2 linked regions of the Xenopus tropicalis genome follow. The protein of the gene in region 2 binds, or shares a complex with, the protein of the main gene of each other region. Links are inferred from orthologs where the notes say so. Each region holds a gene or a part of one and is shown on either strand. Other genes may lie near its edges.

The links. The genes of interacting proteins can lie anywhere in the genome.
Region 1: the proteins of ppargc1b (region 2) and ppara are in contact, whole or in part, in a crystal structure (PDB 3SP6), measured with the Homo sapiens proteins. The link is inferred for Xenopus tropicalis from reciprocal best matches to the Homo sapiens genes PPARGC1B and PPARA. Residues at the interface, in NP_573570.3 of Homo sapiens: Ser154, Leu155, Leu156, Gln157, Leu159, Leu160, Leu161, Thr163; in NP_001001928.1 of Homo sapiens: Val284, Thr285, Thr288, Glu289, Lys292, Phe297, Leu302, Asn303, Gln305, Val306, Leu309, Pro458, Leu459, Glu462, Ile463.

What each region holds. Positions count from the first base shown.
Region 1 is NC_030679.2:3,227,575-3,235,269, reverse strand, and holds the start of ppara (peroxisome proliferator-activated receptor alpha), read right to left. Parts: upstream 4,807-7,695; 5' UTR 4,522-4,806; intron 2,839-4,521; 5' UTR 2,795-2,838; intron 368-2,794; 5' UTR 342-367; coding exon 113-341; intron 1-112. UniProt on the Homo sapiens protein: Ligand-activated transcription factor. Key regulator of lipid metabolism. Activated by the endogenous ligand 1-palmitoyl-2-oleoyl-sn-glycerol-3-phosphocholine (16:0/18:1-GPC). Activated by oleylethanolamide, a naturally occurring lipid that regulates satiety.
Region 2 is NC_030679.2:43,952,940-43,960,432, reverse strand, and holds the start of ppargc1b (peroxisome proliferator-activated receptor gamma coactivator 1-beta), read right to left. Parts: upstream 4,543-7,493; 5' UTR 4,513-4,542; coding exon 4,441-4,512; intron 1-4,440. UniProt on the Homo sapiens protein: Plays a role of stimulator of transcription factors and nuclear receptors activities. Activates transcriptional activity of estrogen receptor alpha, nuclear respiratory factor 1 (NRF1) and glucocorticoid receptor in the presence of glucocorticoids.

The sequences.
Region 1 (7,695 bases), about 41 Mb from region 2:
GGGATCCCTGGGTACTTACTAACATGCTGCCAAACCCCAAGTGTTGCGCCTTCTCATGTAAACTGCCCCATAGGGATCAATGATCTGTAACTTTCCCATTCCCTGCCCTTACCCGTAAGGTCTGTGCTGACGGACCCATTCGACCCCGGACTGTTCCCCAAGAACTGATACTCGGAGGCACCAAAAGCCGCGGAGCCATCGTCCCCGATTGTCTCAGTGATATCCTGAATGTCCCCGATGTCCGGCAGGAACTCTCCCGATAATGGGCTCTCTAGGTCATCCTCGTCCAAAGGGGTCAAATTGCACAACTCGCTGTTTGTGTCTACCATGATGGCGGACATAGCAAGTCTGGCCCGAAACCATCACACTAAAGGGGAAAGGAACAGAAACACTGCGTTGTTATTCTGGGTATTGTGCCCAGAGCATTCCTTCTCTGTATATTTGTATTTATACATATGGGTAGGGGGTGCCATAGTGTTTCCCTTAGACAGTACAGTATGGGGGTACAGCTTATTGTGTGCCCAGAACATTCCTTCTCTGTATATTTGTATTTATACATATGGGTAGGGGGTGCCATAGTGTTTCCCTTAGACAGTACCGTATGTGGGTACAGCTTATTGTGGGCCCAGAACATTCCTTCTCTGTATATTTGTATTTATACATATGGGTAGGGGGTGCCATAGTGTTTCCCTTAGACAGTACAGTATGGGGGTACAGCTTATTGTGTGCCCAGAACATTCCTTCTCTGTATATTTGTATTTATACATATGGGTAGGGGGTGCCATAGTGTTTCCCTTAGACAGTACAGTATGGGGGTACAGCTTATTGTGTGCCCAGAACATTCCTTCTCTGTATATTTGTATTTATACATATGGGTAGGGGGTGCCATAGTGTTTCCCTTAGACAGTACAGTATGGGGTACAGCTTATTGTGTGCCCAGAACATTCCCTCTCTGTATATTTGTATTTATACATATGGGTAGGAGGTGCCATAGTGTTTCCCTTAGACAGTACAGTATGGGGGTACAGCTTATTGTGTGCCCAGAACATTCCCTCTCTGTATATTTGTATTTATACATATGGGTGGGAGGTGCCATAGTGTTTCCCTTAGACAGTACAGTATGGGGGTACAGCTTATTGTGTGCCCAGAACATTCCTTCTCTGTATATTTGTATTTATACATATGGGTAGGGGGTGCCATAGTGTTTCCCTTAGACGGTACAGTATGGGGGTACAGCTTATTGTGTGCCCAGAACATTCCTTCTCTGTATATTTGTATTTATACATATGGGTAGGGGGTGCCATAGTGTTTCCCTTAGACAGTACAGTATGGGGGTACAGCTTATTGTGTGCCCAGAACATTCCTTCTCTGTATATTTGTATTTATACATATGGGTAGGAGGTGCCATAGTGTTTCCCTTAGACAGTACAGTATGGGGGTACAGCTTATTGTGTGCCCAGAACATTCCTTCTCTGTATATTTGTATTTATACATATGGGTAGGAGGTGCCATAGTGTTTCCCTTAGACAGTACAGTATGGGGGTACAGCTTATTGTGTGCCCAGAACATTCCTTCTCTGTATATTTGTATTTATACATATGGGTAGGGGGTGCCATAGTGTTTCCCTTAGACAGTACAGTATGGGGGTACAGCTTATTGTGTGCCCAGAACATTCCCTCTCTGTATATTTGTATTTATACATATGGGTGGGAGGTGCCATAGTGTTTCCCTTAGACAGTACAGTATGGGGGTACAGCTTATTGTGTGCCCAGAACATTCCCTCTCTGTATATTTGTATTTATACATATGGGTGGGAGGTGCCATAGTGTTTCCCTTAGACAGTACAGTATGGGGGTACAGCTTATTGTGTGCCCAGAACATTCCCTCTCTGTATATTTGTATTTATACATATGGGTGGGAGGTGCCATAGTGTTTCCCTTAGACAGTACAGTATGGGGGTACAGCTTATTGTGTGCCCAGAACATTCCCTCTCTGTATATTTGTATTTATACATATGGGTAGGAGGTGCCATAGTGTTTCCCTTAGACAGTACAGTATGGGGGTACAGCTTATTGTGTGCCCAGAACATTCCTTCTCTGTATATTTGTATTTATACATATGGGTAGGAGGTGCCATAGTGTTTCCCTTAGACAGTACAGTATGGGGGTACAGCTTATTGTGTGCCCAGAACATTCCCTCTCTGTATATTTGTATTTATACATATGGGTGGGAGGTGCCATAGTGTTTCCCTTAGACAGTACAGTATGGGGGTACAGCTTATTGTGTGCCCAGAACATTCCTTCTCTGTATATTTGTATTTATACATATGGGTAGGAGGTGCCATAGTGTTTCCCTTAGACAGTACAGTATGGGGGTACAGCTTATTGTGTGCCCAGAACATTCCTTCTCTGTATATTTGTATTTATACATATGGGTAGGGGGTGCCATAGTGTTTCCCTTAGACAGTACAGTATGGGGGTACAGCTTATTGTGTGCCCAGAACATTCCCTCTCTGTATATTTGTATTTATACATATGGGTAGGAGGTGCCATAGTGTTTCCCTTAGACAGTACAGTATGGGGGTACAGCTTAATTGTGTGCCCAGAACATTCCTTCTCTGTATATTTGTATTTATACATATGGGTAAGGGGGTGCCATAGTGTTCCCTTAGACAGTACAGTATGGGGGTACAGCTTATTGTGTGCCCAGAACATTCCCTCTCTGTATATTTGTATTTATACATATGGGTGGGAGGTGCCATAGTGTTTCCCAGTACAGTAGAAGACATACTCACTAGTTACTCAGACGTTACTATTAGGAAAGCTGCATCAGTCCAACCTGTAAGACACAACACAAAGCAGTTATATTGGGCGCTCGCACCCATGTGACAATGAGAATCTCCCCGCCCGCCAAAGGGTTAAACTATCTTTAGCTTTTCTATTAATGACTCCAAGGTAGAAGCTTATTGTGCTCCACCTGTTGCGGGGGAGGGGCTCGTTAGCTAATTAGGGTTGTGCAAACTGGGCGGCCGGGAGATAAAGCTCTCCAAGGTCACTCACAGGCAGATTCCTAAAGGGGAGATTTGACTCGACCAATAGAAACCTGTTACACCGGCGTAACCACAGAAACCCTCAGCCTGTGGCGCTGTTCTGTTGGGGCCCAATGAGAAACACTGGCCACTGGCTGATAGTGGTGAGAGGCGGTACTGCAACGACTGGATCTGTCAATAATCAGCTGCCACTTTAAAGGGGAACTTAGAAGAAGACAAGTGGGCTGTTAGGGCTCAGCAGGCCGTTCCTGCTGGACTGCATTCCCACGCAACATAAAAGCCCACCTGTTCCAGAGAAGCCCCTCCCACCGCCCCTTCCCCTTGTTCCCCCACAGATAAATGAGTTAAACACAACCGCCCGGGTCGAGTCCCCCCTCCCAAACCGGAAAGACCAGTTTGATAAAGAAAAGTTCTCTGCAATTTACTAAATGGTGTTAAAAAAAATAACAAAAACAGCGTTTGAATCAATATTCACGGCCAAACACTGCCCAGAAAAGTGCAGAGTCAGCAACAATTTCACAATGTCGGGAAACTACCCTCACGTGGAGCGAGTTATGTGTAGCCACGCCCCTGATATATGTATAACCCCGCCCAATCAGGTATGCCCCACCCCTTTAGCAGACTGTATTCTGGGATTCTACGGCAAACTGAGTTCCCCTCTGACATCACTGCTGGCTACTGTATTGCGCATTCCCAGGGGCTGCCAGCAGGGGGCTGTACTGGCTTATGTAGGAGGCGGAGCTTGTGCTGGGGGGGGATAACTGTTGTACAGGGAAACCCACACAGAAATCTATAAACATGGGGCTGACTGATTGATTGTCTGCGTGTAGTGGGGGCGACAGTTATACGTAAGAGACAGTAGGGCAAGATGGGGACAGTAGGGCAAGATGGAGACAGTAGGGCAAGATGGAGACAGTAGGGCAAGATGGAGACAGTAGGGCAAGATGGAGACAGTAGGGCAAGATGGGGACAGTAGGGCAAGATGGGGACAGTAGGGCAAGATGGGGACAGTAGGGCAAGATGGGGACAGTAGGACAAGATGGAGACAGTAGGGCAAGATGGATACAGTAGGGCAAGATGGGGACAGTAGGGCAAGATGGGGACAGTAGGGCAAGATGGGGACAGTAGGGCAAGATGGGGACAGTAGGGCAAGGTAGAGACAGTAGGACAAGATGGAGACAGTAGGGCAAGATGGAGACAGTAGGGCAAGATGGAGACAGTAGGGCAAGATGGAGACAGTAGGGCAAGATGGAGACAGTAGGGCAAGATGGAGACAGTAGGGCAAGATGGAGACAGTAGGACAAGTTAGAGACAGTAGGACAAGTTAGAGACAGTAGGGCAAGATGGAGACAGTAGGGCAAGATGGAGACAGTAGGACAAGTTAGAGACAGTAGGACAAGTTAGAGACAGTAGGGCAAGATGGAGACAGTAGGGCAAGGTAGAGACAGTAGGAAGAGACAGTCATTCCCAACCTGTTCCAGGCGTGACACACAATTCCCATAACAATCAGTTCCGGGAATCACGCCATCCTATCGTTTCTGGGCCAATGAGGCGGCGCCGCCATAAGACGCTTCCTGGCACATTCCGGTTGTGCCGATCGCGCTGCTGGGAATTCCGTTCCGCTGGGTCGGGAATGAGGTTTCTACAAACAAATGAAAAAAACACAAAAACTGCTGATTCAGCGAGAAAGTGAGTAGAAGCCAAACCCAGGCAGGGAAGGGTTAAATCGTGCTGCGAGGAAAGAGAGCGTCGCTGACTGACAGAGACACCCAGTGAGAGTGATTAGCGGCGGCTAATAGGTTAATCATTAGAGCTCAGCATGCAATCATTAACCAACCGCCACGCGGCACGGCCCCCGCCAAGGAACAGATATAAAGGCAACATTAAGCCAACAGATATGATTCTGCATTAAAAAAACCCAAAGAACAGTTTTTAGGTGTAGTTCCCCTTTAAGGTAGCCACAGAGACAGCGACCCCGGCAACCACAGAGACAGCGACCCCGGCAACCACAGAGACAGCGACCCCGGCAACCACAGAGACAGCGACCCCGGCAACCACAGAGACAGCGACCCCGGCAACCACAGAGACAGCGACCCCAACAACCACAGGGACAGCGACCCCAACAACCATAGGGACAGCGACCCCAACAACCATAGGGAGAGCGACCCCAACAACCACAGGGACAGCGACCCCAACAACCACAGGGACAGCGACCCCAACAACCACAGGGACAGCGACCCCAACAACCACAGGGACAGCGACCCCAACAACCATAGGGACAGCGACCCCAACAACCACAGGGACAGCGACCCCAACAACCACAGGGACAGCGACCCCAACAACCATAGGGACAGCGACCCCAACAACCATAGGGACAGCGACCCCAACAACCATAGGGAGAGCGACCCCAACAACCATAGGGAGAGCGACCCCAACAACCATAGGGACAGCGACCCCAACAACCATAGGGACAGCGACCCCAACAACCATAGGGACAGCGACCCCAACAACCATAGGGACAGCGACCCCAACAACCATAGGGACAGCGACCCCAACAGCCATAGGGACAGCGACCCCAACAACCATAGGGAGAGCGACCCCAACAACTATAGGGAGAGCGACCCCAACAACCATAGGGACAGCGACCCCAACAACCATAGGGAGAGCGACCTCAGCAAAGCAGTTTCTAATTGGTCTTCATTTATTATTATTATTTGTAGTTTTTTTTTAGTTATTTCACTTTTTGTTCAGCAGCTATTTCACTTGGAGTTTCAGCGGCTATTTGGTTGCTAGGGTCCTAATTACCCTAGCAACCAGGGAGTGGTTTGAACGAGAGACAAGATAAGGAATAAAAAGTAACAATAACAATAAAACTGGAGCCTCACAGAGCAATAGGGTTTGGCTGCCGGGGTCAGTGACCCCCATTTGTGGTAGAAGAAGGGAAATAATTCAAAAACTATAACAAATAAATAATAAAGACCAATTGAAAAGTTGCTAAGAATGGGCCATTCTATAACATTAGCTCAAAGGAGCCGCGCCCAGGTTGTAACAACTCCCGGCATCTTCTACTTGTGTCCAGGGACCGTCGCAGCCCCTTCATTTCTCTTTTCAAGTTCCCCTTTAAATTCCAGATGGGGCAACTGAGGTCACCCTGTGCCCCCAGGGCCGCTTACCTTTCTACCTGCCCCCCCGCCACCCCCTCACACCAACAAGCATAAACTTTTATGCCCCCTAATCCCATTTTAATCACCGAGACGCTGAGTGCGCGGCTTGTAAAGACCTTACGCTAATCCGCGTCCCATTGGCTCCCAACGCGAAACAGATGTTTGGGCTTTACTTTCTATTGAACCCGGGGCCTTCCTGCAGCGTCGCCCCGATAATCACTCACTGGCCCCGGGGCCCAGAAACGAGCCTGTCACTGGGTATTTACTCAATTCTGTCAATTCATAGGCCGAGCCAGGGCAGTAACCGTACGGGTAGGGGGTGCCATAGTGTTTCCCATAGACAGTACAGTATGGGGGTACAGCTTATTGTGTGCCCAGAACATTCCCTCTCTGTATATTTGTATTTATACATATGGGTAGGGGGTGCCATAGTGTTTCCCATAGACAGTACAGTATGGGGGTACAGCTTATTGTGTGCCCAGAACATTCCCTCTCTGTATATTTGTATTTATACATATGGGTAGGGGGTGCCATAGTGTTTCCCTTAGACAGTACAGTATGGGGGTACAGCTTATTGTGTGCCCAGAACATTCCTTCTCTGTATATTTGTATTTATACATATGGGTAGGAGGTGCCATAGTGTTTCCCTTAGACAGTACAGTATGGGGGTACAGCTTATTGTATGCCCAGAACATTCCTTCTCTGTATATTGTATTTATACATATGGGTAGGGGGTGCCATAGTGTTTCCCTTAGACAGTACAGTATGGGGGTACAGCTTATTGTGTGCCCAGAACATTCCCTCTCTGTATATTTGTATTTATACATATGGGTAGGAGGTGCCATACAGACAGTACAGTATGGGGGTAGGTAGGTAAGTAAGTATTCCATAAGGTTCCAGCATCAAAGGAAGCATTTTTATTGCCCCAGGGGGGGCAGCATTGAATATTTAAAGGCAAAACTCATTCTCTCTTTCCCACAAAGCTCTATTTAGCGGTCAGTAAATACCCCGGGGCAGGACACCAAACCACCTGTCAGAATTTGTTACAATTTTACCCTTCAGTCGTTTGGATCAACAGGGACCTTGGCCTTTAAACAATGGAGGAATAATGTGACTACTGGCCCTACTTGCCTGTACAGGTTGCATCAGGGAAGCAACATGGCAGCTCCTGTTTATATACAGCCACTGGACTACAATTCCCAGCATCCCCTAACCGCCCCCCCCATTCTCATTTATAAATTCTGACTGACGACACAGAAAGTCACGAGTGTTGGGGCAAAGCCGAGTGCTGAATCAGGTGCCAAGGTCCCAACCCCACGGGCCCTCGTATCAATGTGTAACTGATAAACGGCCAATCCCGCCCGGCGCTGAGCCCGGCCTGTTACAAAGGGCACAACTGGCCAAACAGGAAAAGCCGTCCTGCCAGGGAAATGGGATTTAGGGTTAATTTGTTTGTCTGAACCTCAGTCCAATGGTGTAAAT
Region 2 (7,493 bases):
GAATAAAAAAATCTAATCTGGTACTTAAGTTTTCATGGTGACAATGAGGTTTATGAGTAAGAGATTTATTGCTCCATGTGACCTTTATACAGTGTTATCTCCATAGGAGCTAGACATTGTACGCCATCTTATTTCATTTAACTCTATTCTTCTGACTGGAAATGAAACCTGCAACCACGACCCATGTTTATAGTGTTTGCAATACCTCTTCAGCACATAGGTTCACTGTGTTCAAATAGTAATAAAACTAGTGGATCTTTCGGATAAAACTGCCCATAGGTGGCTTTCAAGCTATTTTACATCATTATATGCACAATCACACACAGCAGGTCTAATACTTATTTTGTATGCTCAGTCATGCAATCTTTACTTGCATCTCTAAACCACTTATAACTAAAAGTAAAATAAGCAGCAAAGACTGTTTGTCCCACAGGAACAATGATTTTACTGTTTTAAGATGTAGTTCATCTTCAAATTAAGTTTTAGTATTATGGCTGTGATATTCTGACAGTTTGCAATTGGTCTTTACTTATAATGTTTTGAAATGATTTCGCTTTTTGTCCAGCAGCACTTAGGCTGATGCCACACGTGGCGTTTTTACACTGCGTATTTTCTAATTCTCTCGGTGGCTGAAAAACGCACAATATCATCATCCATAGAAATAACTTGAAAAGACTCGAAGGAAACCACACAATGCGTAAATACGCTAGAAAACGCCTTACCACAAATTTTTCAAGTATTTGCCGAAATACGCCGTTATTTGCACAGCAGCCTATTCCTATGTATACACAAAGGCAGCTGCCAGACCTAGCGGAAATACGCTGCGTTTTTTTACTATTTCGCACTAATAGCACCATGGGAAAAGGGATTTGCTACGTCACCAGTACTAGGCTGAAAAACGCCAGTCAGGGGCTGTGTGGCGTTTTTAGGCTGAGAAAATATGCAGCATAAAAACGCCATGTGTGGTATCAGCCTTAAGCCTGTAATTTTAGCAGCAATCTGGTTGCTGTTTTCCAAGTTACCCTAGCAATTAGGCAGTGGTTTAAAAACCAAATAAATGCAATAGTATTATCGATGAACAGCCAAGACACTATGCTTTACTGCAGTGTATGAAGAATGTTTCATAAAGGGTTTCACACCCCCACCCTGATGCTGCTGTCTAGAAAGTATATATAGTCTAAATTTGTTTGATAATCATAAATAATTGTAAGGCGCCATGTGAACTGTAAAATGTGCCATTGGCAAGAAATGGAGAGTTCCCTAATGATTCCCATATCATTAAATTTAAAGTAGTGTGGCGCTTATGAGACAGCCTAATAACATATTAATGAGAATAAAGAACAGGTGCTACATTTGCAAGTGCTGTGGTTCATAAGGCAACCATTCACCTACAGTGCTGGAGTCAGAACATGGAAGGGGGCAGGTTAGAAACCCCTGTGCTAGTGACATTTGCAGCCCTTACACAAGCAGGACTATATTAGGGCAGTTAATCTACAGCAAACAGACCCTATCGCTCACATGGTAGAGGCTGGCAAAAGTTTAAACCAATGTCACCTGAAGGCAGCAGAAAAGAAAAAACACATGTTCCTAGAATTGAGTGTAAAAGGGGGGAGGGCACCCTTTATACTTTCTTTATCAGCATTCATTCCTGGTGTCATATCATAGCAGTAGAGGAAGGCAAAGGGCACACCTTTAGCTCCAGTCACTTTCTCATCACCTTGACTGAAGTTTGTTCACTACTAGCAGTCATTGCTAAGCAAACACCACCTCAATAATGAGCCAAAGAACATTGTACCAGAGGGCCTTGGGGCCTATTTATCAATATCAAAAGAAAGCACTATCCTGGGTTGCAGTTTCTAGAACTTATAGGGCTACGTTAGTTATCAATAATTCTTGGCCCTGATAGGATTGCAATTTACAATCAATTTTTTATGAACATCATAAGGCTGGAATTAAGGGTTCTCATTAAGGAAGTGTTTGCACAGCACAGCGAAATATCTTAGGTTAATTATTGGGCCATGCTACCTCCTGAGGTGTGGGTCCCAGGGGAGGAAAAGGCTTATTGTCTGTTCCTCTGAGTGCTGATTATAACACACCTTTTTTCTGCTGCATCAGCAAAAGCACCAATTAAATTCAACAACTGTTCCACAGAACATTATTTTTGGGTGGGGAGGCAATGTGATAGTTAAGGTATCAATCTGACTTCATATGCAATTCAAGTAGCGCAAAGCACGCCACGTGAACACTATGCTTAAAGGAGCGAATGCCAGCCAGATCTGGATCACACAGGCAATGCAACAATTCCAGGCATTAAGAGGGTTACACTTGTGTCACACACCCCTGTGGTATCGGACAACACAGAACATATAGTATTAATAACATCCTCTGACATTATTCCAAGCAAAGTGCAAAACACAATTATAAAATCAGCCACTCATGTTGCCAATATCTTTGGCACCCTTAGCATGACAGCAGATGCGCATCCCCTGCAAGTTGCAGCTTGGCAACATCTGGAGTACAGAAGGTTGCCTATCCCCGATAACATAATCCCTACTGTATCTCTCATAGAATATGCACTGCACAAACCTGCATTAATTATGCCTTAGTGGGTAAGGGATCTTATGTAAGAGATATTCTTTATTGGATGTGCTTGATAAAACTTGGTAATCTGATCAATCTAGCTCAGTGAAGATTTTATCTCAGGCTTGGCCACCGCTATCCATTATACAATGTCAATAATGAGAGATCTCCCTGCCCATAATAGCCATCAGTGAAGCTGCATCTCACACATGCCCAGAATACTCCTGTTTTGTAAGCAGCAGACTGCGGTTATGAAACTCCCAGCCCCGAGACACGCACACTTCTAAGCATGGCTTGCTATTAGGGAACAGTGGATTCCTTTAGCAGATCTGGAAGTGCTGCTCTTTGTACTGCACAGACCTGCTTCCTGCTAGTACAGATCGACCAACGCACTTTGGCTCTGGGGATTAGCATAGGCAATAAAGGGTTAAGGATGAATACATCTGCATCCGAGGTACAAAGGCACATTCTTATTTTACTTTTATTCACTTATTAAACTGCTTTTGCGGCACCATTCCTATACTGTAATATTTTAACCGCCTGCTGGTGTGTAGCGAATTACAAATGCCATTTAACTCTTTGCCATCCACGCCACTTCTGTAATGATACATACAGCCCTTAAAAGACATACATTACTTACTTTAGAGGAGCCTATTTATGTATATATGTTAATATGTATATGGATTTATAACTGCGCAGTTTATTGACCCTAAGAGCAAATGCAAGGAGGCAGGCACAGAGCTCCTGTGTTTTATAATAGCTGGCTTGATAATCACTCCAACTGTGCTCTCAGCTGCTGATTCCTTGTACTCCACATCAGACATCCAATACAAATCCATTCTACAGGAACCCATACAAAGGAGATGTGCAGAATTTCAGACAGAAGGTTTTTTTTTTAACCATTTACTCCACAGGTTTGCTAAGTTGCCAGCATGGGGTTAAGCAGGACTGCTGCTGCACGCTATCCGCTTCCCACTAAGCACACACACATTTCTCATTTTAGTTCAATCACACTACAAAATGTAAAATCATACAGTTTCCAGTGCAGATCTGAGTTCCCATAGGCAGAAGGAGCAGCCTGGGCTCCACGCCCCCTCTCCGAGCTCCACATGCAACATCCTGCTGAGTGCTGAACACCACATGGGCAAGCCGGGCACTTTCTATTCACGTGTCCCAGGAGCCAGGTCCCATCACTCCTACACTGAATCAATGGGGTACCCCCCAACCTTAAGTTTTCTCTGCAGTGGAGTCTTCCAGCCATACACTGGATACCTAGAACATGCTGCCCTGGGCTGCTCCACATGGTAGCAAGGGGGGTGGGGGGGCATTAAAAAGGGCCTCTTGGCCAATTAATAGCACCTCAAAGTTTTTGCAGCATTTCAGGGCGAGGGTGATCTTTAAAGTCATAATGACTAGAGTAAAACTAGAATTTCAAAAAACAGTCTTCTAACTTTCACTTGCCACATTTGCTTCATACAGACTAGCATGCTCTCCAGTATATAGAAAGACTACCGGTATTTCCATTGATCATTTAAAGGTTGTTAAGGGGTATGCTGGGAAATGTAGTCCAGCATTAGCTCTGGAGGGTAGCAGGTTGGATATTACTGCAGTGAAGCAGCAGGGTGCATCTCAAGCATGTGGGCACTTGAAGTGCAATTATTGCCAGTGTTATTAGGGTTGGGGATCTGCGCCTAAATCTTGCCTCCATGCCAAGTGAGGAGCATGCAAATGGGGTACAAAAAGATTAGGGTGCACAGACCCTGTCAGTGATGTAATAAATGGCTCTGTCCATGCCATCAATAGGTGCCTGCAGAGCAGCTCAGGCAAAGCCATGTCTCCTCTCCCCCCACGGCTCCTTACCGGGCTGTCAGTCAGATAATTAAAGACGAAAGACTCAAGCTCCTCATCCAGCAGTGTGCTGCAGTCCGCCATCTTCCAGCGAGTGCAGCTCAGTGCTAGAGAGAGCTCAGTATAGAGGAGGGGGAGCCGGCAAGTGGGAGGGGAGAGCAGCCGGCTCAGGGGCAGGCAGGAGGGAGGGATTGGTTCTACACTGACAGCAATTCTCTCTCACTGCTTCTTCTTCCCACTTTATTAGCAGCAGGCACCTCTACCCTCCCATGGGCCATAGTCCTTCAGCCACCTGTAGCTCTGCAACTCATGCAATTGCTTTAAACTTCTGCCAGCCACTACCATGTGAGCAATAGGGTCTGTTTGCTGTAGATGAACTGCTCCAAATATAGTCCTGCTTGTGTAAGGGCTGCAAATGTCTAACTTGCCCCCTTCCATGTTGTGACTCCAGCACTGTAGGTGAATGGTTGCCTTATGAACCACAGCACTTGCAAATGTAGCAACTGCTCTTTATTCTCAATAATATGTCATTAGGGAACTCTCCATTTCTTGCCAATAGCAAATTTTACAGTCTACATGGCACCTTACAATTATTTATGATCAACCAAAAAAGTAAACTATATATACTTTCTGAAACATTCTTCATACACTGCATTAAAGCTTAGTGTGTTATGGCTGCACATCAATAGTACTATTGCTCATAAAGTAATTGATAATGCCTGAGCTCAGGGGTGCCCAGATTTTGTCACCCTGTGCACTGTCTATTGTACAGTGCAAGCCCCAAGAAAAAGTATATCACTCTGCTGCCGATACACATAGCATGATATATATCCAGCGCCAACTTAATGTATAATGGCTGCCAATACAGAAAGCAGTATATTATAAATTATACATGCAATGGAAACTTCATTTTTCAATGTCTGGCACATAGCATTATAAATGCAGTGTCAAATTAATTCACATTTAATGCCCACATAACAGTATACAAATGCCAGCTTGATGTTTAATACTCAAATACACATAGCAGTATATAAATGCAGTGCCAACTTCATATTTATTGTGAAAAGGATTGGAGTACTTTTTACTCCCCTTCTTGTACACAGCCCACTTTGTAGTTTGAGCACAGAAGAATCTGTGACACTCATCACTGGAAGTAGATACATGGCATAGTAGCCCTGGTAAGTGCTGCTCCAATCGCAGGGCTCAGCTAAAGACAAAACATTCAGATGCTGTGGGAATCCTGTCTGGGACTTACTGGTACTGGAAAACAGGCATAGACAGTCTCATATATGTAAATAAGAAAGTAGTGAGCTTTTAGTCCAGGGGAATCTAGTGGTCTTAAAACAGAGATAGTTTGTCTGACAGCCCCCACTGATCTATTACTAAACCAGTGGGAGAATGGGCAGTGAGTAGTCTGCACAGGCTGCTGCTTATCTTATCAGGAGAGCAATACACTTTTTCCTTTTTCTTTTTGCGCCCTCTGTGCAGCTATTCAGTGGCATTGCTATGGGACAAATGTATACAGTGACCAGGCAGAGACAATCTACTACTCTGGGATGAAGCTATACCTCTGGTTTGCTGGGGGGAGGGGGGGCTAAGGACCCACATAACGAGTTGCTCTAATCGCAATAGATCACTGCTACCTTTGGCGACTAACCATTACAAAATGCCTTTCCTCCGGTAACAATAAGGGGCACATTTACTAATCCACGAACGTCCGAAAAGCGCCCGAATGCATTTTTTCCGTAATGATTGGTATTTTTTGTGATTTTTTCTTCGCCGTCACGACTGTTTCGCGAATTGTCACAACTTTTTCGCCGCCGTCGCGAAAAAATCGGATTGGTTTTTCCGCCGTTTATAATTGCTCAATATGAAAAAATCACGACGGCAACGAAAAAGTCGCGCAAAATATGATAAAGTCGTGACGCTGGCGAAAAAATTGCGCAAAATACGAAAAAAACGCGACAGCGACGAAAAAATTCGCAAAATTTTCGTTTCAAATCCGTTTTTTTCCCATTCAGGATTCAGATTAGTGGATTAGTAAATGTGCCCCTAAGTGTCGCCGGAAGGCCCGGATTTGAGAATAGCTAGCCCCCTTTCGCCACCTGCCCACCCCCTCCCCCCGCGCATGCGCACCACTTAACTCGCATACGGAGCAGTGGGGAGAGGACGCGCTAAAGTTTCTGCACGTCCCATCCCCTTGGTTCTGTATGGGTGCAAAATTTCAGTGCTGCTGGGTGGCATGCCGCCTCTAAATTTGGGCCGCCCTAGACCCGGGGCCTTGCCACAAATCTGGGCCTAGTCACTGGTGGAAAGGCCAACACATCGCTTCAGCTTTCTGAAGTTGGGCAAAGTTGCTTGCAGGAGGAAACTTGCAACATTGGAAAGCCAAAGCAGGAAGCAACATGGTAGCCCCCACTCATATATATATGCAAATTTGCAAATAATAGTAAACATACTTTTGAATCGCCAATAGGTTATTATCGTGACAAATACGATTTTTTTGTAAGCATTTTTGTGATATTTGAGTTCTTCAGAAATTTTCGTATCCAATCTGAATTAATCCCATTCGGGATTCGAACTTGTTATTTCATGAATCTGCCCCTTAGTATGTTATAGAATGTTCTGTTCCTGTTCAGGTCTTCATTTGGTTTCTCATTCAAACCACTGCCTAGTTGCTAGGCAACTTGAAGCCTAGCAACCAGATAGCTGCTAAATTTAGAGTGCTACTGGACAAAAGCTAAATGTTTTAAAAAACATTAAAAGTAGAGACCACTTGCAAAAATATCACAGCAATAATACTAACATTTAATTTAAAGTGAACTACCTCTTTAAGCAATACAATCAGTTTTCCTGTGCAGCCATTGCTGCCCATTTGACTTTTTTTTATTTATTTATTTTAAACACAGTCTATTTGAAGAGTTGCATGTAAAACAAGCCAAAGATAATGTACATATATACTCCAAGACCTGTGCCTTACATACTATGTTTTTCTGGTAGCAGTCAACCATCCAGTGAACAATTACATATACATGTATGGGATCTCTATTTCAGAAATCTGTTAT